7 linked regions of the Canis lupus familiaris genome follow. The protein of the gene in region 6 interacts with the protein of the main gene of each other region in a pairwise test. Links are inferred from orthologs where the notes say so. Each region holds a gene or a part of one and is shown on either strand. Other genes may lie near its edges. The genes, in order: HDAC4, PSMD9, TCEA2, TXLNA, JMY, CCDC136 and HMG20B.

Region 1 (3,500 bases), on a different chromosome or scaffold from region 6:
GGGCCCCCAGGGGCAGTGTCCTGGGGCTGGCAGGCATGGCACCGAGCGGCCTCTTCCCTTCCTACCTGGCCGGACCCGGGTGGGCTGTGACGTCTAGTCCTGGCCCTCGCCCGCCGTGGGCATCTGTGCGCCCGTATTCCAGCCAGACACCCGCCCGCCCGAGTCCCTGCAGATAACGGTCTCAGGCGTGTGCGCCGTGAGTTGACGTAAATGCAGGCGCTACCGAGTGTCAGTAGGACCGGGCGGCGGCGTGAAGGGTAGGAGGAGGCACATCGATGTCTTCATTGATCAGGAAGGCAGGCAGGGCCTTGACGGCCCCGGAGGCCGTGGTGACCGATGTCATAAAAGAGCCGGAAGAACCGTGACACGCGGACCCAGTCCCAGACACTGACACGTGTTAACCAAACTCACAGGTGACGCGTGGATAAATCTGATGACTTATCGATTTATAATGAAGATGAAAACCGCCATGTCCGCGAGAGCCGTGTCCCACGGGCAGCCCGGGAGTCGGAGGCCCCGTGTTGGGGGCCGCAGGGAGGCTGCTTGCTCCTGACGGCACGCGTGGGCGGGGTGCCGCGGGCGGCCGGTGCTTGCCGACTCCTGTTCCTCGCCCGAGCCGCTCCGGCTCTGACGTCTGGGCCTCGTTCCCGCCCGCCGGGCGCCCGCCTCTGCTCCCCCGAGGACCGGAGCGCGGGAGCTCGTGTCGGGGGAAGCGCTGCCGTTGCTGGGTGCGCATGGGGCCCCGGCGGGCCTGGCCGTCCCCGACCGCTGTGGGGCCGCGGCCTCGGCACCGGAGCGCGACCGGGAAGCCTGCGGGGGGAGCGGAGCGTGCGCCCCCCAGCGTTCAGGGCTGGGGTCTCGCGGGTGGTGGAGCGCTCGGCCTTTATTTAGAAAACGATCCTTACCCTGCTCAGACCCAGGACCGTTAGGGACGCTTGTTCTCCGCATCCAGGAATACCAGTGAGCAGAGCGGCCTCGGGGCCCCTGGTGGCTCGTGTGGCAGCTGGCACCAGTCGAGGCCTCCAGCGTTCGGTGACCGGCGTCGGGGGGCAGGGCTCTCGGGGCTCCAGGCGCCTGGAGCCGGGCCCGTGGGGGCGCGGGCACCTGTTGGGTTCTCTCCCTCCCTGCCCCTTCCCGCTGCACCGTGGAGGCGGGGAAGTCAGGCGGGTGGGCAGGGAGGCCCCGTGTCCCTCGGGGGCCGCACGGCCGCTGTGCACCTGCTTCCCTGCAGGGCCTCGCATGTGAGATCCGTCCCTGAAGCCTCGGCCTGGCTCGTGGCCCGGCGCTGGTCTGCATGGGGCAGCGGCTTCGTGGAGGGCGCGCAGGCCTGCGTGGGGCAGTGGCTGTCCCCGCCCGGCGCCCACCTGCCCGGCCGCGCCGGAGCATCCCTTAGTTGCTAAACTGCCTGTTTGGGGTCCTGGCAGTGTCGCGCTCTTACCAAAACCAACTCTTGTCATAGAAACACACATTTTGTGAAAAGGAGTTTTTCGTGAAGTTGAGTCCTTTTTGCCCTGCCGATTTTTGTTGAGGTGGCGGAGGTCCTGGGGACCGTCCACCTGGGTCCCCCTCAGAGAGGCGCGGCCGGCCGACCCCGGGTGGCTGGAACCCGACCAGACGTGTGTTGCTCACTCAGCCAGCGTCTTGCTGCCCTCGGGTGGGGGCGCGGGGGGAGAGGCAGGGACCCAGCCGTGGAGTCCGCGTTCCCACTCCGGGATGTGCTCCCACGCACGTGTCTGGCATGTGGAGCAGCTCCTCCTGGGCGGGGCCGGCCGGGGGCTGCCTGCAGGCGGGGGCTCCGTGGGCTGCCGAGCTCGGGGCTGTGCACCCACGAGAGCCAACGGTCAGGCACGTGGGTTGCTGGACGCGAGCCGCGGTTTCCTGGCAGCACCCAAACCCCGCGTCTCCTCTCCCCAGCAAGCCCTCCTTCTGGAACAGCAGCGGATCCACCAGCTGAGAAACTACCAGGCGTCCATGGAGGCCGCTGGCATCCCCGTGTCCTTTGGCGGCCACCGGCCTCTGTCGCGGGCACAGTCCTCCCCGGCGTCTGCCACCTTCCCCATGTCTGTGCAGGAGCCGCCCACCAAACCGAGGTTCACCACAGGTATGCGCAGGGGCTGGGGGCTGGGGGTCCGGCGCTGAGCACCTGTGGCCCACACCTGGCCTGGGCCTGGCCGGGGAACCAGATGCGTCGGTCACTGAGGCCCCCTTCCCACCTCCCGCTTCTTGATGCCGCCGTCTCCCTTGGCCCAGAGCCCACCTTGCCTTTGCCGGAGAATGTTCCCTCCGGAGACAAGCCGGCGGGCTGGGCGGCTGCCTGTCCGTGGGCCGCAGGGACAGTGAGCTCATCCTTCCTCATCGGCCCTTCGTGTGGGGCCCACACGGCCCGGGGGGCTCAAGGGTCTCAGGCCCCAGGGTGTGAGGCCGGCCCAGCCCCCCAGGGCTCTCGCCTTCGGGGTGGGGCTGTCCTCGCTGCCTCACCCCTGCAGGAGCCTCCCCGTTCCCCCTGCAGCAGAGCCCGGGCTGGGCGACCCTCCCTGGGGGCATCCCCATTGCCCCGGGTCCCTGGTGCTGATCCCCCCCCAGGCCCGCTGTAGTTGGGTTCAGGACTCGGTTACGTCCCTTTGAACACCCTGATGTTGGCCTGTTCGTGCATGTGTCACGCAGGTGTCCCGACTGCCCTGGAAGGTTCTAAGGTTCCAGGGTCTCTCTTGGTTCTGACCCCAGAACCTCGCAGGGGACTCAGATCAGCAGCAGCGCTGCTTCCTGGGTTCCGCTCCCTGACAGGATGGACTTGGATTTGGGGCTAAAGCTCTTAGTTTGGGAAGACAGCACGGCCCTGTGACGCGGGGGCCGCGCAGCTTGGGGAGTGGGGGCGGCGGCTTCCCGGGTCGTTCTCCTTGCCTCGCTCCCCCGGCGGGGACCCCCGGCACCTGCCGTGAGCAGGACACCTGCCTCGGCCTCCATCTCTTGGCCGCCCTTGGTCTCTGGGGAACGTGGATCTGACACATCGTCCTGGTGGACGGGACGCCGTTGGCCGCTGTCTCCCACCAGGACCCGGTGGTGGGCCCCAGCCAGGCAGCGTCCCGGGTGGGTGGTGGGCGGCTGCCGGGAACCCCTGACAGCCCCCCTGACCGTGGCTGGGCCCCCCGTTGTCCAGGCCTCGTGTACGACACCCTGATGCTGAAGCACCAGTGTACCTGCGGGAACACCAACAGCCACCCCGAGCACGCCGGCAGGATCCAGAGCATCTGGTCTCGGCTGCAGGAGACGGGGCTCCGGGGCAAGTGTGAGGTAAGTGGGGCCCAGGCCGGGGGCGGGGGGCTGTGAGCAGTTCCACCAGGGGCATCTGCCCGGGGGACTGCTTTCCCTCACCCAGGTCCTCCCTTTGGGGAAGTTCACCTCTTCCTGTCCCTGCGTCCTCCTGCCCCACTCCGTCTTGTCCCCCATCCTCCATCCTCCTGTCCTTCTGCCCCCTATCCTGCTCCCCTGTCCTGTCCCCC
Region 2 (4,046 bases), on a different chromosome or scaffold from region 6:
AGAGGAGTTAGACCACCAAAGCCAGGGATGGCCAGTGACCACCAGAAAATAAGACAGAGGCACTGAACAGATTCTCCCTCAGATCCCCCAGGAGAAACCAACCCTGCCGACAGCTTAGATTTCAGACTTGTGGCCTTCACAACTGTGAGAGAATGAATTTCCATCACTCTGGTCACCCAGTTTGTAGTAATTTGTTATGGGGGCTCCAGGAAATTAATACATGTAAAAGTAATAAATCATGGCTGAATTATTAGTCAGCATAGAGGAAAGCTGCCCAGGGAATATATGTACTGGGATGAGGGATTCCATTCACTTCTCTCCCTTTCTTTCTGGAAGCCACTGGGTTATACCTACCATTTCCTATTGAAGCCCATAGTTTACCTTAGACTTCACTCTTAGTTTTATATTCTACAGGTTTGAACAAATGTATAATGACATGTACCCATCATTACAATCCTATATGGGATACCTACACTGCCCTACAAATCCTCTGTGCTCCATCTATTCATCCCTTCCATCACTTTGGATCCCTGCAACCACTGATCTTTTTAATGTCTCCACAGTTTTGCCCCTTCCAGATTCTGGTTGAAACCCTACAGATGCAGTCTTCTCAGACTGGCTTCTTTCAGTTACTTATAAGCATTTGGGGTTCCTCCAGGTCTTTTCATTGCTCACTAGCCCATTTATTTTTAGCAGTGAGTAATATAGTCTACTGTTTAGAGGTTCATTTTATTTACCTATCCACCTAGTTAAAGACATCTTGGTTGCTTCAAGTCTTGGCAATTACGAAATAAGCTGCTGGAAACATCATGAGGATTTTTGCGTAGACATGTTTTAAACTCCTTTGGGTAAATACCATGGAGCACAACTGCTGGATGGTATGGTAAGAGAATGTTTAGCTTTGCAAGAAACTTGCAGCTCTGAATCAAGAGTTCCCCCACATCCTCAACAGCATCCGGAGTTGAACTGTGATGAATACTGGCCACTTAGACACATGTGTAGTAGTACCTCATGGCTGTTTTAATTGGCATTTCTCTGATGACATATGACATATGTCTTTTGAGATACACGTTTTAAATTCTGATAAATTTTATCTACTTTTTCTTTCATTGCTTGTGATTTTGGCATCACATCTAAGGAGGTTTTACCTGACCCAAGATCACAAAAATTTACTCCTATGCTTTATTCTATAAGATTTATGGTTTTAGCTCCTCCCTCCTTTTTAAAAAAACAATCACAGAGGAGGGCTTCAGGCTTAAAAGCTTTCAGCCTATAACTGTAGCTAGTAAAAAGGAACAAACATATCACCTTGGTATGCATTTTTACCTTATGCTAAAGGGAGGGGAAAAAATCCCTTTCTCATATGCTGTAAAGTTACAAAATTTTCACTTAAGACAAACATATTTAAGTAAAAAAGTGAATCAATATAAAGAAAAATACCAAGGGAATAGTAGTACAGGAGATATTATGGATATAGCATCCCGCTTGAGGTAAAAAGTAAAGTTTGGAAAATTGTTAGCATAATGCTTGAAAACACAAGTTCTGGATTAAACGGGCCTGAGATCTGAATCTCATTTTGTGACTCTAAGCAAGTGACTTCTCTTTTCTGAGCTGGGTAACATACAAACTTCACAAGGTGGTTGTGGATTTCATGATATAACATACACACAAACCAGCACCCTTCAGGCATAATAATCAGCACCCTGCAACATGATACCCTAGTCTTTTGATGCTTGGATTTTACTCTCATCACCTAAAATGCATTGCATCCATTCACCCTATATAGGATGTATTTAATTTATTCTTCCTCTGCAAATTGATTTGTGGTTCTACACTAATTGGCATAAGAAAAACTACCAGTTTGGGGGCTAGACAGACCTGGGAATAGCCCCACCACAGCCACTTCTGGTTACATGACCCTAGACAAGGGTTTGCCTCACCCTGGGCCTCAGTTCCCTTACTTGTCACTCAAAGCTCGGTCTTTAGAGTAGTAGCATCAGCATCGCTGGGAATTTGCTAGAAATAGATCTGCACCTCCGCGCCCCGTCCTCATCAGAAACTGAACTTTAACAAGATCTCCAGGTGCTTGCCAAACATAATGAAAGTTTACGAAGTTCTGACGTAAAGTGAGTTAGCAAAGCACAGATCTTCTGGTACACATTCAACAAGCACCAACGATGGTGGTGATTATCACAATTTATTAGCTCTGTGGCCTGAGGCAGGTTGAAGTAACGCCTCTGTTTCCTCATCCCTAAAATGGGGGGAATAGTAGAACTCACTTCAAAAAGTTGCTGCGAGGGTTAAAGGAGCTAACCACGTAACGCAATTAAAACAGCCCCCAAGCGCCCAACACCGGGTAAGAGCTCCACGAACGCTTGCTATACTAGGCCAGTCGTTCTCAGGGGCTATCGTTAGTTGCTTACCGCCTACTGCCGACAGAGGCCGCAGTTGCCGCGCTTTGGGCCTCCCAGGGAGCGAGAGCTCCACCGCTGAGCGCTCAAACCCAGGCCGCCCCGGCCTCCCCATTCTCCCAGGCTGCCCCCCACGCCCGCTCAGGAGCCCCGAGCCCCCACTCACACTCTCCAGTACGTCATAATTGGCTTTGATCTGCGCCTCGATCTCCTCCTTGCGCCGTATGAGCTCCTGGATGTCACTGACAGTCACCGCGCCGGCCTGCGGGGAGCCTTCGCCCTGCCTGGCTTCCCCCTCCGACATCCTGGACCTCGGCGCGGGATGCGGGACACCAGGCTCCCCGGCTTCCGGGATGCGGCCGCCGGAAGAGACTGTGGCTACGGCTCCGCCCGCGGGCCAAACTTCCTCGAGCGTCAGCGAGCCTGACCTGGGGGAGGGGCCTGCTGGGGGCGGGGCGCCCGGAAGCCACACCCCGCCGGGACAAGTGTTCTGGGGACTAGGGAAGACCAGTCTGGGGAGGAATGGGTTCCAGGTCTGTCACCAGCCAGAACAGGATGATCTCTCCCTCGGTGACTCATTTGCTTTCCATTCATTCAGTAGACATGTACTGAGCGCCTACCATATGTTTGTGCCAAAGCGCTGTGCGAGGCGCTCCAGTTCAGCTCCTCAAATCTACCCAGCCCTTGAGAGATAACGAAACACATTCAGATTCCTTATCCCCCATTTTTAAAATATTTTATTTTTTTATTTTTTAAAGATTTTATTTATTTTTTTAAGATTTTATTTATTTATTCATAGAGACACAGAGAGGCAGAGACACAGGCAGAGGGAGAAGTGGGCTCCATGCAGGGAGCCCGATGTGGGACTCGACCCAGGGTCTCCAGGATCAGGCCCTGGGCTGCAGGCGGCGCTAAACCGCTGCACCACCGGGGCTGCCCGGTTTTATTTATTCATGAGAGACACACAGAGAGAGGCAGAGACACAGGCAGAGGGAGACGTAGGCTCTCTGCGGAGAGCCCATGACCCCAGGGTCACACCCTGAGCCAAAGGCAGACGCTCAACCACTGAACCATCCAGGTGCCCCCTAAGATTTTATTATTTTTAAGTAACCTCCAAACCCAACATGGGGCTGGAACACACAACCCCAGAGATCCAGAGTTGCATGCTTCACTGGCTGAGCCAGCCGGATGCTCCCCTTATTCCCCATTTTACAGACCCTACAAGCTCAGGTTCAAGTCTGGTTCTGGCCACTTAATGCAACCTACATGACCTTGGTAAATTCCTTCACTGCCCTGAGCCTATTTCCTCATCTATAAAATCATTGGATATTGATAGATATCTCAGGGCTGTGATTTTGCTAACAGCTATTTATTGAATGTCTCCTATATGTCATACACTGTCCCAGGAGCTGGAAAGATAAAGAACTGAGTTACTACTCAATGTCTCTTACGTACTAAGACCTCTTTAAATTTTGGCAAAAATAGTGATGATAATAACTTACCAAATTCATACAATGTGCCAGACACTGTTCTAAATGCCGTATGTGTATCAATTCAACAGCCCTCTGGGGGCGTCTGGGTGGCTCATTTGGTTAAGTAAGTATCTCCCTTCTGCTCTGGTCATGATCCCAGAAT
Region 3 (4,128 bases), on a different chromosome or scaffold from region 6:
GGGGGAGCCATGCTCAGATGCCCCCCGTCTTCCGGGACAACCAGGGCGGGGGCCTCCTCCAGGACGCACAGGCCCTGCCAGGCGCCAGGAGCCGTCCGGGCAGGAGGCGCGCAGGGCCCTACCTGAAGCAGGTGCAGCGTGACCGGCATGGCCTTCAGCTCCCGCAGCAGGTCCATGGCTCCCTCCTGGAAGGAGAAGGGGGACCTTCATAAAGGACTTCGAGGTCTCGGGGTGCACTGCCACCTCCTCCTAGCCACGAAGGCGGGGGGGCACCGGAAGTAACAGATTGGAGACCCACCCGGGGTCAGCTGCGCGGGGACGGCCAGCAGCTCTGCAAACTCAGCGCCAGCGCCTGGTCACTGACCAAACCACGGCTGCAGCAAACAGCTCCAAGGCCGGCAGCCCCGCCCGCGGGAGGACAGCACCCAGGTCGGGGGGGGGGGGGGGGGGGAGGCAGGGGTGCTCACTGCCCGCTCCAGGCCCAGACCCCTCGTGGGTTGCTCAGCCCCTCCTGAAGTACCTCATCACAGGCTGACGGGAGCCAACCTGGGCAAGGTCAGCGACCCCGACTGAGGCCAAACACCTCCCCCATCACATGCACACCCACCCACACCCAGATTGAAGTCCCAGCAATCTCTCCAGGCCAGCCACCTCCCCCACCTTGCCCCTGCCCACCCAACACCTGTTTCTTTAGAGCCCTCCCCACATCAAGGTCCTGCACAAACTGGCTGCTCTCTCCACTCCGGGCTCAGCTTTAGGTTCCTCAACTGTGCCAAGCTGCTTGCCCCAGGACCCTTGCACCTGCTGCTCCCACTGCCAGAGAAATGCCTCCCAAATATCTACAGTTCCGTACCCTCCCTCTTCCCAAATTTTATTCAGATGACACCTTGTTGACGCCCCTCCTGACCCCATCCTCCCCCACTTTGCTTTCTCCCACAGATGCTTCACTTGTTAACATACTGGTGTGTTTTAACGTATTGCTCTTTCCTTTGACATGAGAGAGCAGGAATCATGTGGCTCGGCTATCCGAGGTGGTGGGACCCTCGTGCCAGGCAGCCCAGGCCGCATCCCCTGCCATCTGCATGGCGCCTCTGCTCTGCAGCCCCGTCCACATCCCCCCCCCCCCACCCAGGAACATGCAGAGTCCAGCCCTACGGTGACCTCCTCAGGTGGGGGGGGCGTCCGAGCCAAGGTCACGGCGCTGCTCACTGATGAGCTTCCTGTGGCTCCAGACCAGAGGCACAAACCCAGCTCCCGACTTCCCCATCACCGGTCCCCAGGCCTCCGGGAGCCTCACGGGCACCAGGCACCTTCCTGGCCCGTGGGGCTGTCAACTCCCACGCCTCGGTCTCCACAGTGCTTCCACCTGGCCCCACCCAGCCCTCTGCGGGTTCCGTGACCCATCTCTGTCCCCACCTGGGGGGTGTTGTCTCCTTCAAGACAGGAAGCAGCTTCTTTCTTTGGTCATCTCTGCAAACAGCTAGACTGTCCCCCACTCCCTAGCTCCGCGCAGCCCAGGGCCTCCCAGGGACACGATGCCCGTGTGGGGAGGGGGCTGCTGCTCGCTGGATGAGTGGATGAGTGGGAGCCGGCCCCGTTTCTGGCCCCAGTGTAGGCCCCTGTCCAAAACCTGGTCAACAAGGACCCCAGGACAAGTCGGCTTAACACAAAAGAGTGCCCAAAGCGGCAGAGCAAGCGGTCGGTCTGGGGTGGCTGCGCGTGACGGAGCCGCCTCCTCCACCCTGCTACTCGCTCACAGTCCCGGGGAAGAGCGGGGTGTGTGTGTGGAGCCTCTCGGGGAGCCAGCCAGGGCCCCCCAGCACCCTGAAGGCAGGTCCCGCCCACCAAGGATGCTTCCACGGGAGGGCACGCAGGCTGTCAGGGAGGGTCTCGGAGCTCAAGATGGGCTGAAGTTGGAACCCCAACCCCCACCCCGCAGCACTGCCTCCTCCAGCCTCCGCGGCGGGGGCCCCAGCCCGCGGGGCCAGGGGCTCCATCACCAGGCCTGCCGGGTGCCCAGGCCTCCCAGGCCTCTATCCCTAGGGTCTCTGACATCTCCCCCCTCCCCAGCTGCTGCTGGCTGGGTCCCGGCTAGGGAAGGGAAAGAATTTATTAGGGAGACCTGGTTCCTGTGGGGGTGCAGATGGGGCACAGGGGCCTCTGCAGCAGGACAGGCCTCGGGCCTGCACACGGAGGGGGCGGGGGGCGGGCTGCAGGCCGCGGGGCGGGCGGGGCGGGCGGGGCGGGCGGGGCTCTGCGGAGAAGGCCCGGGCGGGGGCGGGGGCGGGGGCGGGGGCGGGGCCGGGAGGGCGGGGCGGGGCGGGGCACGGAGGCGGGTGTCAGGTGCGCGGGGTCCGGGTCCCGCGGGGCGGCCCCGACACGACCCCGGCCCGACCCGACCCCACGGCGGCCTCCGCGGTGCGGGCGCGGGGGAGAGCCGGGGGGCCCAGGGCAGGGTCTCCGCCGGGGCGGGGCCTCGTCCTGCCGCTCGGGGTCGCCCGGCCCGAAGCGGGCGGGGGTCGGCGGGGCGGGGCCCGGGGTCCCGGGGTCCCGGCGGCCCGCGCCCCTCACCGCACTCTTCTTGGTCACCATCTTGTCCAGCCTGCGGGCGATCCGCGCGATCTCCTCCTCCTTGCCCATCATCGCCTCGGGGGCAGGGCCCCCAGCGCCCGCCGCGCCAGCCTCGGCCTCCGGGCCCGGACCCCTGCCCCGCTCGTCGTCGTCGTCCGCACCCGTCGCAGCCGACGCAGCCCCGCCGCGGGCGGGAGACCCTCCGTTCAAACCCCCGGCCCCCGCGGTCGCCGCGCTGCTCCCTGGGACATGTAGTTCCCGCGGCCGGCAGCCTCGCGCGCTCGCCCCGCGCTGGACCACAAGCCCCGGAAGACACGCGGCTTCGCGTGGCTTTCTGGGATGTGTAGTCCCGCCGCGGGCCGCCGCAGGAGGCCGACGAGGACGGCCGACTCGCAGTCCCACAAGGCCCCGCGCGAGCCGGTGAGCCGGCGGAGGGCGCTGCGGAGCGCGGGGCCAGCGGGCGTCCCTCCCGGACCCTCCGCCCGAGCGGCCCGTGGGTCGGCTCCGTGGGGCCCGCGAAGGCGCGTCCGGGTCCGGCCGTCCCCTTCTCCGCCCTCTTGGAGTCCTTCTCCCACCTAGCGCTGTGCTGTCCCGGGGCAGCCGGGCCCCGCGGGAGACCCCGCACCCCACCCGCGCGCGCCCCCACCCCCACACGCCCAACCCCACCCCCGCGCACCCCCCGCCCGCGCCGCCAGCCGCACGCACCCCACCCCGCGCACCCCCACCTCCACCCCGCGCACCTCCCACCCGCACCCCCACCCCGCGCACCCCCACCTCCACCCCTCGCGCACCCCCCCACGCCCACCTCCACCCCCGCGCGCCCGCAGCCCCCACCCCCGCACTCCCACCCCTTGTGCCCTCTGGCCCACATGCCCCCCCCCAGAGGGGAGGGGGCTGCAGCCGGATGCAGGGTCTGGAAGAGGCCAGGGCCGGTTCCGGTTCCGAAGGTGCCAGAGGAGCCGCAGACGCCCCCGGGGCAGCTGCCGGGCATGAATCCCGCGCTCTGCACTTCAAACCGACCGCAGACCGTTGTGCCTCAGTCTCCCCATCTGTGAAAGGAAGGTGGTGGTGTCGTCCGCTCAGGGGGCTGCTGCCCCGACGGCAGGTGGTGAAGAGCGGAGAACGGGGCACGAGCACGTCAGTGGTCACCTCGGCTGCTGGAGCTCCTGTGAATGCCCGCTGCGCCCACGTGAGGGTGGCCTGGCTGCGGGGACAGCAGAGGAGCGTCCCCTCCAGACCTCGCCCCCTTCGAGGTGTCCCCGTGTGCCCTACAGCGGGGCGGGGCGCGGTACAAGGCAGGAGACGGATGTCTGTGTCCTGGGCCCACGGCCACTGACATGCGGGCAGGTGTGAGACCGGGCGGCAGAGAGGAGGACCAGACACCTGGGCTGCCAGGCTGCACCACACGGGAGCACGTGCAGACTGGCCAGTGGGGAGCAGAGCCTCCAGCTCGTACCCCTGGATCCTTCCCGTCGGCCTCCAGTGGAAGCATGTGGTTCCTCGGGCTGCGAATGAAGCAACGACCCACGTCTCGCGGCAGTACCAGGACTGAGCACA
Region 4 (3,500 bases), on a different chromosome or scaffold from region 6:
TTCACTCTTTGGCTACCACTGTTGACAAATGTTTAGTAGTTACCGAGGAAACCTATTCCTTTTTGCCTCCTTCCTCTTTCGAAAGGGCTTTCCTTGCATTGACACAGTAGCACTTAAATTGGCCATTGGGATGTCTTTTTTTTTCCTCCTGCTATTAGAGCAGGCAGGTTTTTTCTCCCACTCTCAGTGTTCACCATGGAGTCTCCACATAGACTCAGTTATTAGTCTATTAAGCATTTGTTGAGCATGTCGTCTGAGATGGGCACCAAAGACAATATGGAGCAGCACTGGGGCCACAGTAATAGGCTGAGTTCAGTTGGTGGTAACCCTCATGAACCACACGGTCTAATGGGATGACAGCCAGGTCAACAAACAGTATCAAATATGATAATGTAGGGCTGCCTCAAGGCCTGAGAGTGTGGGCCGAGGCCTGGGGAAATCCCCAGAGAAGGGGGTACATGATTTTGATCCCTGTGCTTTGCAGGGAAGGAGATCACGTTGCTGATGCAGACATTGAACACCCTGAGCACCCCAGAGGAGAAGCTGGCAGCTCTGTGCAAGAAGTATGCTGAACTGGTCAGTTCTCCCCCTTCTTCTTGCATCCGCCCTGCCTTGGAAAGTCAGCAGGCCACCTGGCATGGGGTTGAGGGTGCCGGGGCAGGTGGGTGGCTTAATTCCTATTCAGCCTCTCTCAGCCTTTTCTCCATCTGTTAAGTGGAGAGTCAAGTCCCAGCTGGCCCCTTCCATGTTGACTGTAAGAAGAAACCCTTCATATTACAGTGGTAAAACCATAGCTCCTGGCCCCAGTCCCACATACCATGTCATCTCACACCTGTGTGCCTCAGTGTGCATCTCCCCAAAAAATGCACAGTGCCATCCTCACATTTAAACTAACACTGATGTGATACTCTAATACGCATATTTCCCCATTTGTTTAAAATGTCAGTTTGATCAAATCAGGGTCTACAGGAGATCCATCTAATACTTTAGGTCCTTACAACTTTTTTTCCTTTTATTCCAAAATAGTCTTCATTTACTGCCAACCTTTTTCTCATGACATTGATTTACTGCAGATCAATCGCCCTGTGCCTCACTTCTTCGCTTTTGTGGTGACATTTAACTTCTTCCTTTACCTCCTTAGTTCCTGTAGATATAGGGGAAATTAACTCTAGAAGCTTGATCCAATCCAAGTTCAACTATTTTGATAAGAACTCTACATAAGTGGTACTCTGTAGAGAAAGTGTGTTCCTCCCACTTTTACTGATGGAAGATTGTCCACTGAGTTCAGGTGGGGCCAGCCAGGTTCCTCCCTTGTCAGGTTGCCATCAGAATTTGTATAAATGGATTAATCCACTGTGGGTCATTTCCTAACTACTTGTTTTTAAGTTCTTTCACTCCATTTTCATTTATTAGCTAGAATTCTCTAAGAAGTTTTTCTCATTTGTAAAATTGGGAAAAATCACACCTGCCTTGTGGGGTTGCTATAATGATTAAATAAAGGATAGGATATGAAAAAGATACCACCCCTTCAGAATGAGCCATCCAGGGAAAGATTGATGAAGAGAGCAGGAGCTGAGTGATGTTCTCAAGTAGAGAAGGAGCTAAGGGCCAGAGCATAAGGAGAAGGCTGGCTGTGTTGGGAAGCACCACTGGATCCTGGTAACCAGAGGAAAAGGCCGGTGCAGGTGGATGGGCAGAGGTGGAACTTATGCCCCTGTGCCTCTGGTTGCTTCCATTCTCAGGGAAATGAGAAAGATATTTTTTGCTGGGCCAAAGGAGAGCTGAGAAGGAGGAGGATGAAATAGTTCTCTGGAAGAGGAGTGTGACTAACATAAGGAATATGGTTAGGCCGCATGGCAGACGAGGGTCTTCCTCAAATGGGTAGTTAGGAATTAAAAGAGGTTCTTCTGCTTCAGTGCCTGTGCAGAGGAATCAGAGGTTGGGATATCAGGGTTGGGGTTTTGATAGGAAAAGGGGGCAAGAGAGTTGAGTGTAAGAAGTCTTAAGACAAGTATAAGAAGGTCAGTGATTATTTAAAGACACATTCAAGGAAAGTGAAAGGATAGTTGGGTCACTGGGTTGGAGGTCCAGTATGGTAGACTTTCTGGGGCCACAAATTTTGGATGGAATGAGCTAGAATGGTAGGGGATAGTGGTCCTGCCCTGGGATGAGATAATGGAGGGGTGTGTGCTTCTGGGTAATGACAAAATCTGGATCTGATGTCCAGGACAGTAACCATTAGCCAACTGAAATGTGGCTAGTCTAGATTTGGATGTGCTCTAAGTGTAAGATACAACTTAGGTTTCAAACACCTAAGGAAAGGGGAAGAAAAAATAATGTTCAATGACTTGAACAGTTGTCATTACATAGAGTTGCACTGTATCAGCGTTGACTAGGCTCATGGGAGGGTAGCTGATGTGGGGAAAAGACAGGGTCTGAGAAGGTTAAGATCTGTCCATAATGAAAAGGCCAAAATGATAACAGCAGTCATGTTGAGTGAAGTGGCGCTAAGTTTCAGAGCAGTGAAGAGGGAGTGACGGGGGTCTATTGAATACAAGGAGGAGTGGTAAGGGGTGTCATCTGAGGACATGAGTGTCACAAAGGTTGAAGGAATGTAATGGTCTGAGAGTCTTGAGAACTTCATCTCTAGAGTTAGAGTGGGGAGAGGCTGGGGTCTGCAGCCTCTGAATCCCTGCTTGTCGTAAGTGCCTGTTTCTGTATACTGGAGATGGAGCCCTTGGGTTTATCGGAGAAGTACATTAAGCACCCACACAGTGTCCAGCCAGAACTGTTAACAACTGGAGTCGGGAGAGGGCCGGGGTCCCTTGGGAAAAGCCCGACTAGGCACTTACTTGCCTTCCTGCTCCACAGCTGGAGGAGCATCGGAACTCCCAGAAGCAGATGAAGCTGCTGCAGAAGAAACAGAGCCAGCTGGTGCAGGAGAAGGACCACCTGCGTGGGGAGCACAGCAAGGCTGTCCTGGCCCGCAGTAAGCTAGAAAGCCTGTGCCGGGAGCTCCAACGCCACAACCGCTCCCTCAAGGTGGGCTGGCCCCTACGACTCTGGTTCCCTTGACTTCCACTTTTCCTTGGTGGGCTTTCCCCTTAAAAAGTAGCACGGAGGGATCCCTGGGTGGTGCAGCAGTTTAGCGCCTGCCTTTGGCCCAGGGCGTGATCCTGGAGACCCGGGATCAAATCCCACGTTGGGCTCCTAGTGCATGGAGCCTGCTTCTCCCTCTGCCTGTGTCTTTGCCTCTCTCTCTTTCTTTCTCTGCCTATCATAAATAAATAAATGAATGAATGAATGAATGAATGAATGAATGAATGAATAAATAAATAAATAAATAAATAAATAAATAAATAAAATCTTTAAAAAAAAAAAAAGGTAGCATGGGATTTTGGCAGAGAAATTGATTTCCCCAGTAACGCCCTGCCTTAGGGATAGCTGCCTGTAACCACTTGACCTGTCCCTGTGTCAGGTATGGTGAGGGAGCCCAGGAG
Region 5 (3,500 bases), on a different chromosome or scaffold from region 6:
GTGGTGGTGGTGGTGGTGGAGGCGGTGTTGGAGGAAGAGGTGGGGGAAGTGGAGCTATGGTAACAGAACCTGGTTCGAGGTCAATATTATTCAAAAGTGGAAGAGAAACAGTGGGTGGCAGTTCAGAGGTAACACCACTGAGAGGTAATGAAGTGGCTTCAAGTTGTGCTAATGAAGTATCTTCAAGTTGTGCGAGGCTTTGGGCTTCTGTTTTCTGTGATGACTCAAGCTTGCCTCTTCCTTCCTCCACCTTTTCACTTTTATCTTCTACCTGTAGCGCCCCTGGCAGAGAGTCACACTGCTCCTCACAGGGCACAGGACTGGCTGTGCTTCTTCTTCTTGCATGAGCCAGTCGCAATCTGGTTGATTTAAGTATGACTTGGCCAGGGTATCTCTAAAAAATCAGAAGGTATTATAACTGGTCAGATTACATTAAAATATTTTATGAGCAAACATTTTTCAAACAAGCATAACTGGGATCCCATGTGTTCCTGGGAAACCTTCAGTCCACATTTTATGATCCATTTTGTTTTTAGTGTCCTTGGCTAACACAGTCCTAAAGTCTCACAATAAGGTATTATAACTGGTCAGATTACATTAAAACATTTTATGAACATTTTATTTCCTCCTTTAGATGAAAGATGTTATTCTGAAGCTTTTGTGATTTTCGGAGAAGGTTCTTTAATAAAGTTATACAGATGACTAGAATACCAAAGCATAATACCTTTTGACAATTATCACTGAACTCTTTTGCTTATTAAATCCTGTCCCCTTTTATCCACTTAAGAAACCAATTGTTCAAAATTACCACGGGATTTAAAGATTAAAGATCTTTAAAGAACTTTAAATTCATTTAAAGAATGAATTATTATTTTTTTTAAGACTTTATGTATTCGACAGATTGAACCAGAGAGCACAACCAGGGGGAATGGCAGAGGGAGAAACAGACTCCTCACTGAGCAGGGAGTCTACCGTGGGGCTCAATCCCTGGACCTCAGGATCATGACCTGAACCGGAGGCAGACGCTTAACCAAATGAGCCACCGAGGTGCCCCTGAAATTATTAATTTAAATGAAAAATAATAGCAATGTAAGATATGAAACATAAATGCTATTGGTATACAGAAAGCTATGAAACTGTTAGTTTCTTACATGTATTTTCAAATACTTACAAATAAAAAAATTAAAAATTAATGTTCTTTTTAAAAACCATCTTGTGGCATTTAAAAACCTCTTGAGGGGATCCCTGGGTGGCTCGGCAGTTTGGCACCTGCCTTTGGCCCAGGGCGCGACCCTGGAGTCCCGGGATCGAGTCCCGTGTCGGGCTCCCGGCATGGAGCCTGCTCCCCGCCCCCCCCCACCCCGTGTCTCTGCCTCTCTCTCTCTGTGTGTCTACCATAAATAAATAAATAAATGAATGAATGAATGAATGAATGAATGAATGAATCTTTAAAAATAAAAACTCTTGAAACAATATGTACATTTTTATGATGGAAAGGGAGGAAGATTTTTTTTTTGAATAATGATATACAGAACTCTCAATCTATCTTTTACTATAGTAAAATCTAGCATTAATCCAGGGCCATGGGTTAGCCTGGCAAGACAACTGCCAGACCCTTTCTCATATAAGTTGATCTACTTTAATTATGCCAGGGTCACTTCCGTAGACTGTTATTATAGGTTATTATACGTGGTATTAATAACAAGGTGATACCTGAAATGGATAGTCAATTGTGAATTTTATAAAACTCAAGAAGAATCCAGGCTTGCCAGAAGCCCTGACCATTACTTTTATGCTACTGAAGTGGTAGACCAATGGCATGAAAATATTAATGCTGTACACAAATGGATTATAGGTATGAGATGCCTGCATGGTGCAGTCAATTAAACGACTAACTCTTGGTTTCGGCTCAGGTCGTGATCTTAGGGTTGTGAAACTGAGCCCAGAGTCAGACTCCATGCTCAGTGCACAGAGTCGGCTTAAGATTCTCTCTCTCTGGGAATCCCTGGGTAGCTCAGCAGTTTAGCGCCTGGAGTCCCAGGATCAAGTCCCATGTCGGGCTCCCGGTATGGAGCCTGCTTCTCCCTCTGCCTGAGTCTCTGCCTCTTTCTCTATGTCTATCATGAATAAATAAATAAAATCTTAAAAAAAAGATTCTTTCTCTCCCTCTTCTGCTCCTGCCCCCACTCTTTCTCCCAATAAATGATAAATATTTAAAAAACAAAAACAAAAAAATAATAAATTTTAAAAAATAAAAAACAAAAACAGAAACAAAAAATCCACAAGTGGAAGAAAGGTAGCCTTTTAATCAAACATTAAAACAAAAGGCAAATTATTTTAAGACTTTATTTGTGTGTATAAGAAAGAGAGAGAGAGGAGGAGGAGGAGGAGAGATTCTAGTGTAGACTGCCAAGAGCAGAGCCAGATGCAGGGCCCAATCTCAACCCTGAGATAACATGAGACAAAATCAGGAGTCAGACACTTAACCAATTGAGTCACCCAGGTACCCCTAAAATAATTTTCTTTTTGGTTTTATTTAAATTCAATTTCATTAACAAATAGTGTATTATTATTTTGGGGGTAGAACTGTGTTTCATCAGTTGTATATAACTCACCATGCTTATTATTACATCAAGTGCCCTACTTATTGCCCATTAACCCATTCCCCCAAGAATTATATTTTCTAAATAATAGAGGAAAAAACAAAGTTTTTCTTAAAATCTTACAATAGGAGTGTGTGTATATGTAGCTATTTAAAAAGCAATGAAAAACAATAAATTGATCATACTTTTATGTTACCTGTTTAAAATTTCGAAGTCTATCCAGTGTTCTTTGTCTCTCCTGGCTAACCCAAGCACTTTTTCTTTCTTCTTCATCGTGTAATTTTTCTCTCTTCTGGTAAAAAATTAATAGTAATTCCATTATGATGTGTCCCATTTATTTTTCTTAATTGGGGAAAAAAGTTCCCCCAATAAGTAAAATGGGTTAACTCCAAAGAATGATTCACTTTGCTTAACAAAGTGTTTTAATGGCATGAAACTACCAGTTTTTAATAGAAATCATAGTTTTAAAATTCACAATGATAGGAGAAAAACAATACTGTTTCGTTTTTTGCATTTACCTACAATTAAAGATGTTTATTCTGACAAGTAAAATCAATTATCACTGAACTAAAAATGTTTCATCTTTGGGTTTCTGACTTAAACAATTTAAGTATAAAATACTTATAGCTGCTATATTTTACTAAATAAAAAAGTTGAACATAATAAAAATAAAATCAGCAACAACCTGGCCTGGATTCAGATACTGCACATTAGTTCAACCAATATAATCAGCAGTTGGGGGCGGGGGGGGGGGGGGGAGCATTTGAAATAAACCAGAGAAAGACAAATATCATATGATTTCACTCAAAAGTGCAATTTAAGAAACAAATGGGGAAAGGAAAAGACAAGAGAACGGAAGAGAGAGTAACCAAGAAACAAATTCTTAACTTATAACAG
Region 6 (3,500 bases):
AGCAAGCAGAGCCCTTCTGTGCTCTCCTGCATCTTGTGGTTCACCAGAGGCTCCCTCCCTGTATGGTCCCCTTGGACTGACAGTCCCAAGCCATGCTGCACCCGTGAGGGTTTAGACACCAAATGGGAAACCCCAGCAGGCTGCTCAGGACTGTCCGGTTATGCTGTAAATTTCGTCTTCTGGCCCCTTCTGAGAGCCCTGTGAAGGGAGTGTTAACAACACCCCTCCCTTCTCAGGTCCCCACCTTCCTTTCCTTTGGCCCTTCCCTTTGGTAAAGATCATTCTCCTGCCCTGCTGGGAGTTCTGGTTCCTGTCACTGTTACCAACCCCAGTTGGTTTTATACCTAATTATACTTCTTACCAATAAAAACTCCACCCGATTTGTCCCCATTTTTGTTTTCATTATCATTTTTTTAAATATCTAGAAAAATATGGGCTACTGCTGAATTTGGATTGAAAAGACTAAATTATCCCATGATTCCATGAAACCAAACCTTCTAATATCGAATTCATCTCAATGCTGTTTTAGGACAAGAGGAAAAGCTGGCTCTGTGTCAGCGAGCTGGCTCCCTCTCTGTAGTCTCTTCTACTAGGAGAGGAGAGGGTGAGCAAGTCATAGACACTCTGGCCTCTAGACTGAGTGGGAATGGAAGAAGAAAATGTGAACCTGGGCATAGAGAGGCAGGTGGACCATTGGGGTGGTCCAGATAAGCTCCCCATTCTGGGTCTTCCAAAGGCTTTTCCCTGGGGACACAGCCTGCTGCTGGCTGTGATAGGAGCCACTGAGTATTCCGGCAAAAGGTGACTTGCTCTACCATACTTTGAGAATCTCGTGCCTTTTCTCCATCATGTTTCAACATCTTCCATTTCCTATCAGTGATCAGGAGCTGAAAGTGCTCAACACAAGGTCTAAGGATAACTGATAATGACTTGCATTTTATACACTATGGAAAAAAAGAAAATAAGGAAAGCCTCACTTATCACTACCAGGATTTATTATTAAAAGCAAGTAAGAAGGGAATAGTATTCTGTTCAATTTAAAGAGGGTAAAACTCAAGCTTAGAGAACTTCTCTATTCTGAAGTCACAGAGGAAACCTTAGAAGAGCCTAGGTCCTTCTAATATCCAATCAGCACCCTGGTCTAGTTGCACAAGACCACATCACCTGACAAGAGCATCTGCAATCTGCCTGAGAAAACTGGACCTTCTCTTTCTAGGTCTAATGATAAAAGTTGCACATGTGGGCTTTTCTGTATGTTCTCTGCAAATTACAAGATATCACTATAAGTTCTAATAACAAGGTCTAAGTGTCTACACATATGGAATCACATGCAAAACCCTCAGGTGTTCAGACTGGATGCAGCTGCACTGATCCTATTAGGCCGTGGCTTGGGCTCAAAATCAAGATCAAGGCAAACTGTTTAAAAGTAAATAGCATGGGACTCTTCTTCTGTTTCCTGACTTGCACACCCAGCTGTGACTGGACGGACAGGGAGCTCATCAAGCCCCTTGGTTGGATGACTGCACCTGTTGCCCTTATACCTCCTTTTTCCAGAGGAAGTACCCAGGAGACCTCACCTCTCTTAATTACAATTACCTTATTAGCACATTTCCCTTTGTCTTCTGGGATGGACTGGGTGGTCTTGAGCTCCTTCAGCTCCTGCTGGCAAAGCAGGAGGTCCTGCTCGAGCTGATCATACATGTGCTTCTGCCGCTCCAGCTCTTCCTTGCTGGTCTGGTACAGCCGCTTCATCTCCTGAAGCTGGGCGTGCATCTCTGCGTTCTGGGGTAGGGGAGGCAGGCCCCACCATCATCCCAGAAGCCCTTGCAGCTGCACTCTCTCTTCACAGACAGGGACTAAGGGGTCCTACCTGGTCCTTTCCAGTCCCAATTTCATCCCAATGGGGGCTACCTGAGATGGACCAGACCCTAACAGGCTCGACGCAGGGGCCTTCTGGGGCTTCCCTTTTGGGCAGATGGGGAAGAAAAAGAGAGCTACCTTTTTACTGGCTGATTTTCTGATTTAAAATCAAAGGAAGCTGCGTGCATCATGACTCTGTGAAATCACCTTTCTACTAGGCACCTCTTTATCCCCCATACCAATGGCTATACTACAGAATGCCATGAGTGCCCCCTCCTCTTTGGTACTACTGCTTTCACAGAAGATTCCATCTGGCTATATTCTCCCTCACCTGGAGTTTCTTTTACCTTCTCACTGCTCTCCTGGAAGGAGGCCACGACGTTCTTGAGGCGCTGCACCTCCGCCTCATGGTACTGCAGGTCCCCGCACAGCTGTCGCTGCACTTCTAGCAGCTTATCCTTCTCGCACGTGATGTGCTGGTACTGAAGCTGCAACTTCTGTAGCCGGCACAGTAACTCCTGTGGTGGAGGGGGCTGTGGGCAGTACCTCTGGGGTCCTCAACCCGTTCACTCTTCTGCCTGAGTCACTCTCAGACACGGATGGTCTAAGACCTGACTTCTCCCTGCCCCTTGCTTACCAGTTGTCCTCTCGCCCAGCGCCGTGCTCAAGGGTGGCCGGAGATCCGTACCAGTGGTGCTGCGCATGTGGCAGCTGGACTTATTTTAACTCTGCTCTGATCCACCGTCCCCAAAACCTCTAAGCACCTCAGTTGCCCCTCACCTCCTTTTGTGGTTACCTTCTCGTTTGGGCTTTCTACGACTGTGGGTTTCAAGACTCTGAGCTGCCGGAGCTCAGACTGAAGCTGTAGTTGCACCTTCAAGAGCTCATTCTGCTCATCCTGGCTAGCATCGTACTTTTGCTGCAGGGCACAGAGTCTGGTCTTCAGCTCCTCGTTCTGTGGTGGGAGGACGTAGGTAGAACAGTTACTCTCAAGAGAAACAGCAGACCCCTCTACAGACCAGTTTGGGTCCTTTCCAGACGTAGACATCTTGAAGAGCTCCCACAGGTCTAAGGTTGGGTTTCTTCTCTGAGGCAGACATTCAGGAATGGCTACCATTTCTAGAACACAAAGCTATGTGACTTGTCCAACTGGTCTCCAGTAGACTGTACCCCTGGTCTCAGGGCAAGAATCAGCCAAGCACAGCCTTGCTCTGCGTTCATCCTTCCCTGATGCAGCAGCTTCACGGAGGCCCTTCCGCCCTCCCCATACTCCCTTCCCCCATCAGTGTTTACCTGGGTGACATTGGGAGAGGTCTGAAACCGAAGCACCTCATTCTGTGCACACTTAAGCTCTCTCTGCAGCCGCCTCTGCTCCTCCTCACTGGTCCGACGATGATGCTGTAGTTCTTGCAACTCACAACACAATTCCTTACACTGTGCAGGAGATGGAACAGAAAGGCTGATTGAGGATAGGTGCCACACACACTTCGAAACTAGACTTGGGGAAGAAAAAAAAAAAAAAGAATAGGCTTGGAAAGGATATGGCATTCCTTTTATTGGAATATTTCCATCGAGCAAGCAAACGAGAACCCAGAGTACTATCACCTGCCATAGTGTATGCCTCCTTTGTCAGCCCCGTA
Region 7 (4,219 bases), on a different chromosome or scaffold from region 6:
ATGGGGGGGTGGGGCAGCTACAACCCCTCTGGGACGTCCCTCAAGCTTGAGAGGGATTCCTCTGGCCGTCTGCATCGACGTCCTTTTAACAACATTCCCACCATGTGGCTGCCCCACGTCGGCTGGCACACTTGGAGGCCCGGCACTGCTTCCTCCCGTGAGAGCTGGCTCTGGCTCACCCAGGGTCTAAAGACCTCCAGACCTTTCTCACCCAGGCATGGTCCTAGGAGGAGGGGTACTTACCTTGTGTCCATTCAAGAGCGTATTCATGAGCCCAGAGCCCGAGTCCTCTGGTGGGGGAGGGAGGAGGGCAGGATCAGCCTGGCAGGGGCCCACACATTGCTTTGCAATGCAAGTGCTGTCCCCCCTGCCTGGGACCCCCCCCCCAGGTTAGCCCTACTTGTCCTGGGGCAGGCTCCTGTGAGGACCCCCAGTGTCTGTGTGCCCCCGCGTTGGCACTGCTCAGCCCTGTCCACCCACAGCTGTCTCGTCTTCATGGGACTGAGTCCCATGGAGGAGGGCAGGTCGGTCTGCCTGGGTCACCTGTCTCAGAGCCCGCACCCAGCTGCCTGGGGGCTGGGGCCCTTCCCACCTTTCTTGATCTTCTTTTCCTGGATCTTCTCCGTGCACATCTTGTAGGCTTCCGACTGCTGGTAGGCGCGCAGCTCCTTCATGTACTGCTGCTTCTCCCGCTCGGCCTCATCCAGGTACCGCTGGTGGGGGCAGAGGAAGGCTTGTCCCAGCCCAGGGGCAGGGGCGGCCGGCCTCCAAGGCCAACACCGCACCTTCCCACAGCTCCCTCCTTGGAGGTGAACCCGGCTCCTCGGCCTGCTGTGCGGGGCACCTTCCTCCCCCAAACTCTTGCCTTTAAAAGCCTCTCCCAGTTGTCTGAGGGCAGGCTCCCATCTCCAGGCTGGGCTGGGCTCCCACACCCATTTTGCTTGGTGAAATCCCACTTAGAGGGTGCAAACTGGTGGTGTGTTTTGTTTCCTATATTTTTGCAACTTTAATTAGCAGGATTTGAAAACCAAGAGCTATCACATAAAAATCCGGCCCCCACTCCTACTTCTTTAGACCTCTCCGTGTTGGTTATCAAGCTTTCCGTGGATTCCTGCTTATTGCGACCCTCCCCTCCTTCCGCCTGCTGGGGAGGGCTCAAGGGTGGTCAGTGCTCCCCGCGGAAGCCCTTTGGGGGATGTGGCCGCAGGGCAGTGTCCGAGTGGGCGGGGCAAGGTCAGTGGTCCCCACCTGCTTCTCCGCCGGCTGCAGCTTGCTCCACTCGGCACCCAGCATCTTGGTGATCTCGGGAAAGGGCAGATCCGGGTGGCGCGTGCGAATCTGCTCGCGCCGCTCGTTCAGGAAGCGCACGTAGCCGGTGACCGGTGCCTTGGGCCCATTTGGCAGGATCTTCTTCCGCTTCTTGCCCTTGGGCCAGCCGCGCTTCTTCACGGGCTGCAGAACAGTACCCACTCCGCGCCGTTGGGAGGGGCCTGGAGGGTTGGGGCGGGGCTAGAGGGCTGGGCGGGGCCTATCCTGGAAACCTGCAGGTATGGCTTGATCAAGGGCCAGAACTGGGAGAGGGCGGGTTTCGGGGAACGCCGGCCGCGCGGGTGACGGATCGGAGGTCCCGGGCGATCCCGGGCGCGGGGCATAAGGAGCCGGGTTGGGCCCAGCGACGGCGAGTGGGCGTGGCACCTGGCGTGGGCGTGGCTTCTCGCCGGAGGAAAGCCCCGCGGGACGACGGGAAGGTGCCTCCCACCGGACATTTGGCGGTGGGCGGGGCCTGGGCTCCGAGGCCGCGGACCTCCGGGGGCGTGGCACGCGGCACGGGGCGGGGCCTCAGCTTCGGGAGGAAAATCAGGACTGCGGGCGGGGCCGCAGCTAATTCAAATCCAGCCCGGGGTGGAGCTTCCAGGCGAGGGGCGAGCCCCAGGGCTGCCCCCACCACGGCGCAGGGACTCACCTCCTCCTCGTGGGACCCCTTCTCGCCGGCCCGGGGGCCCTCGCCGCGCTCCTGCTTGACGGCCACCACGAAGCCCCCGTGCGGTCCCGGAGCCTTGCCGCCCGCCGGCCTGGAGCCACGGGACGCCAGGGTCACCGCCGCCCTCACGTCCATCCCGACCGCGGAGCTGGCACAGAGGGGCCTGGGGCCCGGGGCCCGGGAGCAGGGCTCTGCGGGGGTCACTATCCGCGGGCCGGGACGGAAGCACGGGGGTGGGGGGCGGGAGAGACCCCCGGGAGGAACCGGGGCGGGGAGCTGGGGGCGTGCGGGGAGGTCCTGCCCGGCAGTGGGGGGAGTCAAGACCCGGGGGCGAGGGGCGAGGGGCGAGGGGCGACGAGCTCCGACAGGGAGGGCGGGGGCGGGGCTGCAGACCCGAGTGGGCTGGGGGAGGGGAGTCGCACTCACGCGGCGGCCGCGCCGGGCTGCTTGGAGCCGTGGGACATGGCCGCTCCCGGCCCCACCTGGAAGGCAGACGCGTGGCCGGGTGAGCGGCGCCCGAGCCGCCGACGGGCCGGGCCGGCGGGGGATCCCGGAATGCCGGGCCCGGGGTGTTTGGGGGGGCCGGATCCAGGGGCGGGGAGGCCCTCGAGGGCGGGCGCCCCAGGGATCCTTTGTTGGGCGATCGCCCCCCGGGAGGGCCGGGCCCACTCTCCCCCGGTCCGGGAGGGGCCCCTCCCCGGTCCCGGGACCCCCGCGCCCCCGCCCCCTCGCAGGGCCCCGAGTTCCGCGGCTGTTTTCACCTCCAAAGAAACTTTCCCGGACCTCTCGGCTGCTGCGACGCTCCAACCAACCGCCCCGAGCCCGCCCCTGCCGCTCGCCCCGCCCCCGGCATGCTAATGCGGCCTCCGCGAGCCGTCCGATTGGGTGCAGGCTTTCCCTGGGGCGTGGCCATGCAGATGAGGGTTGGCGCGCCGGCCGGCGATTGGCTGGGGCAGCCGCTGGGCCGCGTGGGAGGTGGACGGGGAAGGCCGCGGGCGGGTGCGTCAAGTTCGGCTGCGCTCGGCCGCTCTCGGGGCCAATCGGGGCGCCTTGGGGCCGCGCCGGGCGGAGCCCCTTAAAGGGCCAGTAGGGGCGGCGCGGACTCCTCCTCTCCCGGCCAAGGCGAGACTCCCCGCCCCAGCGGGATCCCGGGACCTGCCGGGCGAGATCGCGCCCCTCCCTGGTTGCCATGGAGACGGCGGCCGGTTGCTAGGGAAGGGGGTTAAGGTCCTTCCCCGCGGCGTGGCGGTCTCCCCCACCCCCCGCCCCAGGACGAGGTGGGACCTGTCTTCGTATCTCGCAAACCCGGCGGGGAAGTTACCCGCTAGTCCCTGAAGTTAGGGCCCCGGCGTCCCGCTGTGCCCAGCCCCGCAGTGCGCGGGCGGGGGCTGCTCTTCCCCCGGAGGCTCCGCTTTCCCTCCCGTGCAATGGGGACCTTGCACGATGTGCAGGACCAGGAGGCTGGGATGCCCGAAGCTGAGGCCCGGGGCTGGGACCCCGTGGAGATGGAGGGGCAGGAGGCTCTGCTCTGGGATCTGGGGGAGCCCCAGGCGGCAGCGTGGTCCTGTGGCCTGGGCTGGGACTTCCCCGACTCCCAGGATGACAGCTGCGGCCGCTGGATGCTCACGATGTCCCGTTAGTCCCCAAACAACTCTCCCACATCACCGCCCTGCCCTCCTCTGCCTTCTCCACCTCCTGATGCCCCTCACATACAAATAGGTCCCTTTCTCTCACTCCCGCCTCCAGGCTTTTGCACCTGGTGTGCCCTTTCCTCCAGATTATCCGCCTGGCTCATGGCTTGATCTCCTTCAGGTCTTTGCTGAAATGTCAGCTTCTCAATGAGGTTTCCCCCATACACCTTATTTGTTCCCCATGTGTTTGTTTCCTCTGCTACATAACAGTTTTGTTTTCAGTTTTATTTAAGTAAGCTCTACCCCCAACGTGGGCCCACCCAGAAATCAAGAGTCACATGCTCTATGACTGAGCCGGCCAGGCGCCCCCCAAAGAACAAAATTTTAACAGAATAAATTTGAAAATCTAAGTGGCTTTGTTGAGGGATTCATGGGTGGAGCAGTATCCCATCTAGCAAGTAGAAGGGGGCTCCAAAGAGGTGAACAAAATGGAAGGTTAGGGACGGCTGGGCTGCTCAGTTGTTGGTTCAGGTCATGACCCTGGGTTCCTGGGATCGAATCCGAATCCCGCATTGGGCTCCCTGCATGGAGCCTGCTTCTCCCTCTG

What was found.
Region 1: the proteins of CCDC136 (region 6) and HDAC4 interact in binary tests that used the Homo sapiens proteins (3 or more experiments, as listed by UniProt). The two-hybrid records come from large-scale screens. The link is inferred for Canis lupus familiaris from reciprocal best matches to the Homo sapiens genes CCDC136 and HDAC4.
Region 2: the proteins of CCDC136 (region 6) and PSMD9 interact in binary tests that used the Homo sapiens proteins (3 or more experiments, as listed by UniProt). The two-hybrid records come from large-scale screens. The link is inferred for Canis lupus familiaris from reciprocal best matches to the Homo sapiens genes CCDC136 and PSMD9.
Region 3: the proteins of CCDC136 (region 6) and TCEA2 interact in binary tests that used the Homo sapiens proteins (3 or more experiments, as listed by UniProt). The two-hybrid records come from large-scale screens. The link is inferred for Canis lupus familiaris from reciprocal best matches to the Homo sapiens genes CCDC136 and TCEA2.
Region 4: the proteins of CCDC136 (region 6) and TXLNA interact in binary tests that used the Homo sapiens proteins (3 or more experiments, as listed by UniProt). The two-hybrid records come from large-scale screens. The link is inferred for Canis lupus familiaris from reciprocal best matches to the Homo sapiens genes CCDC136 and TXLNA.
Region 5: the proteins of CCDC136 (region 6) and JMY interact in binary tests that used the Homo sapiens proteins (3 or more experiments, as listed by UniProt). The two-hybrid records come from large-scale screens. The link is inferred for Canis lupus familiaris from reciprocal best matches to the Homo sapiens genes CCDC136 and JMY.
Region 7: the proteins of CCDC136 (region 6) and HMG20B interact in binary tests that used the Homo sapiens proteins (3 or more experiments, as listed by UniProt). The two-hybrid records come from large-scale screens. The link is inferred for Canis lupus familiaris from reciprocal best matches to the Homo sapiens genes CCDC136 and HMG20B.

Annotation. Positions count from the first base shown.
Region 1 is NC_049246.1:49,640,533-49,644,032, reverse strand, and holds part of HDAC4 (histone deacetylase 4), read left to right. Parts: intron 1-1,914; coding exon 1,915-2,101; intron 2,102-3,157; coding exon 3,158-3,291; intron 3,292-3,500. UniProt on the Homo sapiens protein: Responsible for the deacetylation of lysine residues on the N-terminal part of the core histones (H2A, H2B, H3 and H4).
Region 2 is NC_049247.1:7,627,771-7,631,816, forward strand, and holds the start of PSMD9 (26S proteasome non-ATPase regulatory subunit 9), read right to left. Parts: upstream 2,801-4,046; 5' UTR 2,716-2,800; coding exon 2,578-2,715; intron 1-2,577. UniProt on the Homo sapiens protein: Acts as a chaperone during the assembly of the 26S proteasome, specifically of the base subcomplex of the PA700/19S regulatory complex (RC).
Region 3 is NC_049245.1:48,351,186-48,355,313, reverse strand, and holds the start of TCEA2 (transcription elongation factor A protein 2), read right to left. Parts: upstream 2,801-4,128; 5' UTR 2,644-2,800; coding exon 2,572-2,643; intron 186-2,571; coding exon 123-185; intron 1-122. UniProt on the Homo sapiens protein: Necessary for efficient RNA polymerase II transcription elongation past template-encoded arresting sites.
Region 4 is NC_049223.1:68,414,254-68,417,753, reverse strand, and holds part of TXLNA (alpha-taxilin), read left to right. Parts: intron 1-484; coding exon 485-576; intron 577-2,871; coding exon 2,872-3,042; intron 3,043-3,500. UniProt on the Homo sapiens protein: May be involved in intracellular vesicle traffic and potentially in calcium-dependent exocytosis in neuroendocrine cells.
Region 5 is NC_049224.1:27,670,198-27,673,697, forward strand, and holds part of JMY (junction-mediating and -regulatory protein), read right to left. Parts: intron 2,896-3,500; coding exon 2,800-2,895; intron 395-2,799; coding exon 1-394. UniProt on the Homo sapiens protein: Acts both as a nuclear p53/TP53-cofactor and a cytoplasmic regulator of actin dynamics depending on conditions. In nucleus, acts as a cofactor that increases p53/TP53 response via its interaction with p300/EP300.
Region 6 is NC_049235.1:7,695,969-7,699,468, forward strand, and holds part of CCDC136 (coiled-coil domain-containing protein 136), read right to left. Parts: intron 3,295-3,500; coding exon 3,154-3,294; intron 2,816-3,153; coding exon 2,657-2,815; intron 2,379-2,656; coding exon 2,208-2,378; intron 1,783-2,207; coding exon 1,597-1,782; intron 1-1,596. UniProt on the Homo sapiens protein: May play a role in acrosome formation in spermatogenesis and in fertilization.
Region 7 is NC_049241.1:56,240,175-56,244,393, forward strand, and holds the start of HMG20B (SWI/SNF-related matrix-associated actin-dependent regulator of chromatin subfamily E member 1-related), read right to left. Parts: upstream 2,801-4,219; 5' UTR 2,743-2,800; intron 2,464-2,742; 5' UTR 2,446-2,463; coding exon 2,408-2,445; intron 2,073-2,407; coding exon 1,964-2,072; intron 1,453-1,963; coding exon 1,249-1,452; intron 714-1,248; coding exon 593-713; intron 291-592; coding exon 244-290; intron 1-243. UniProt on the Homo sapiens protein: Required for correct progression through G2 phase of the cell cycle and entry into mitosis. Required for RCOR1/CoREST mediated repression of neuronal specific gene promoters.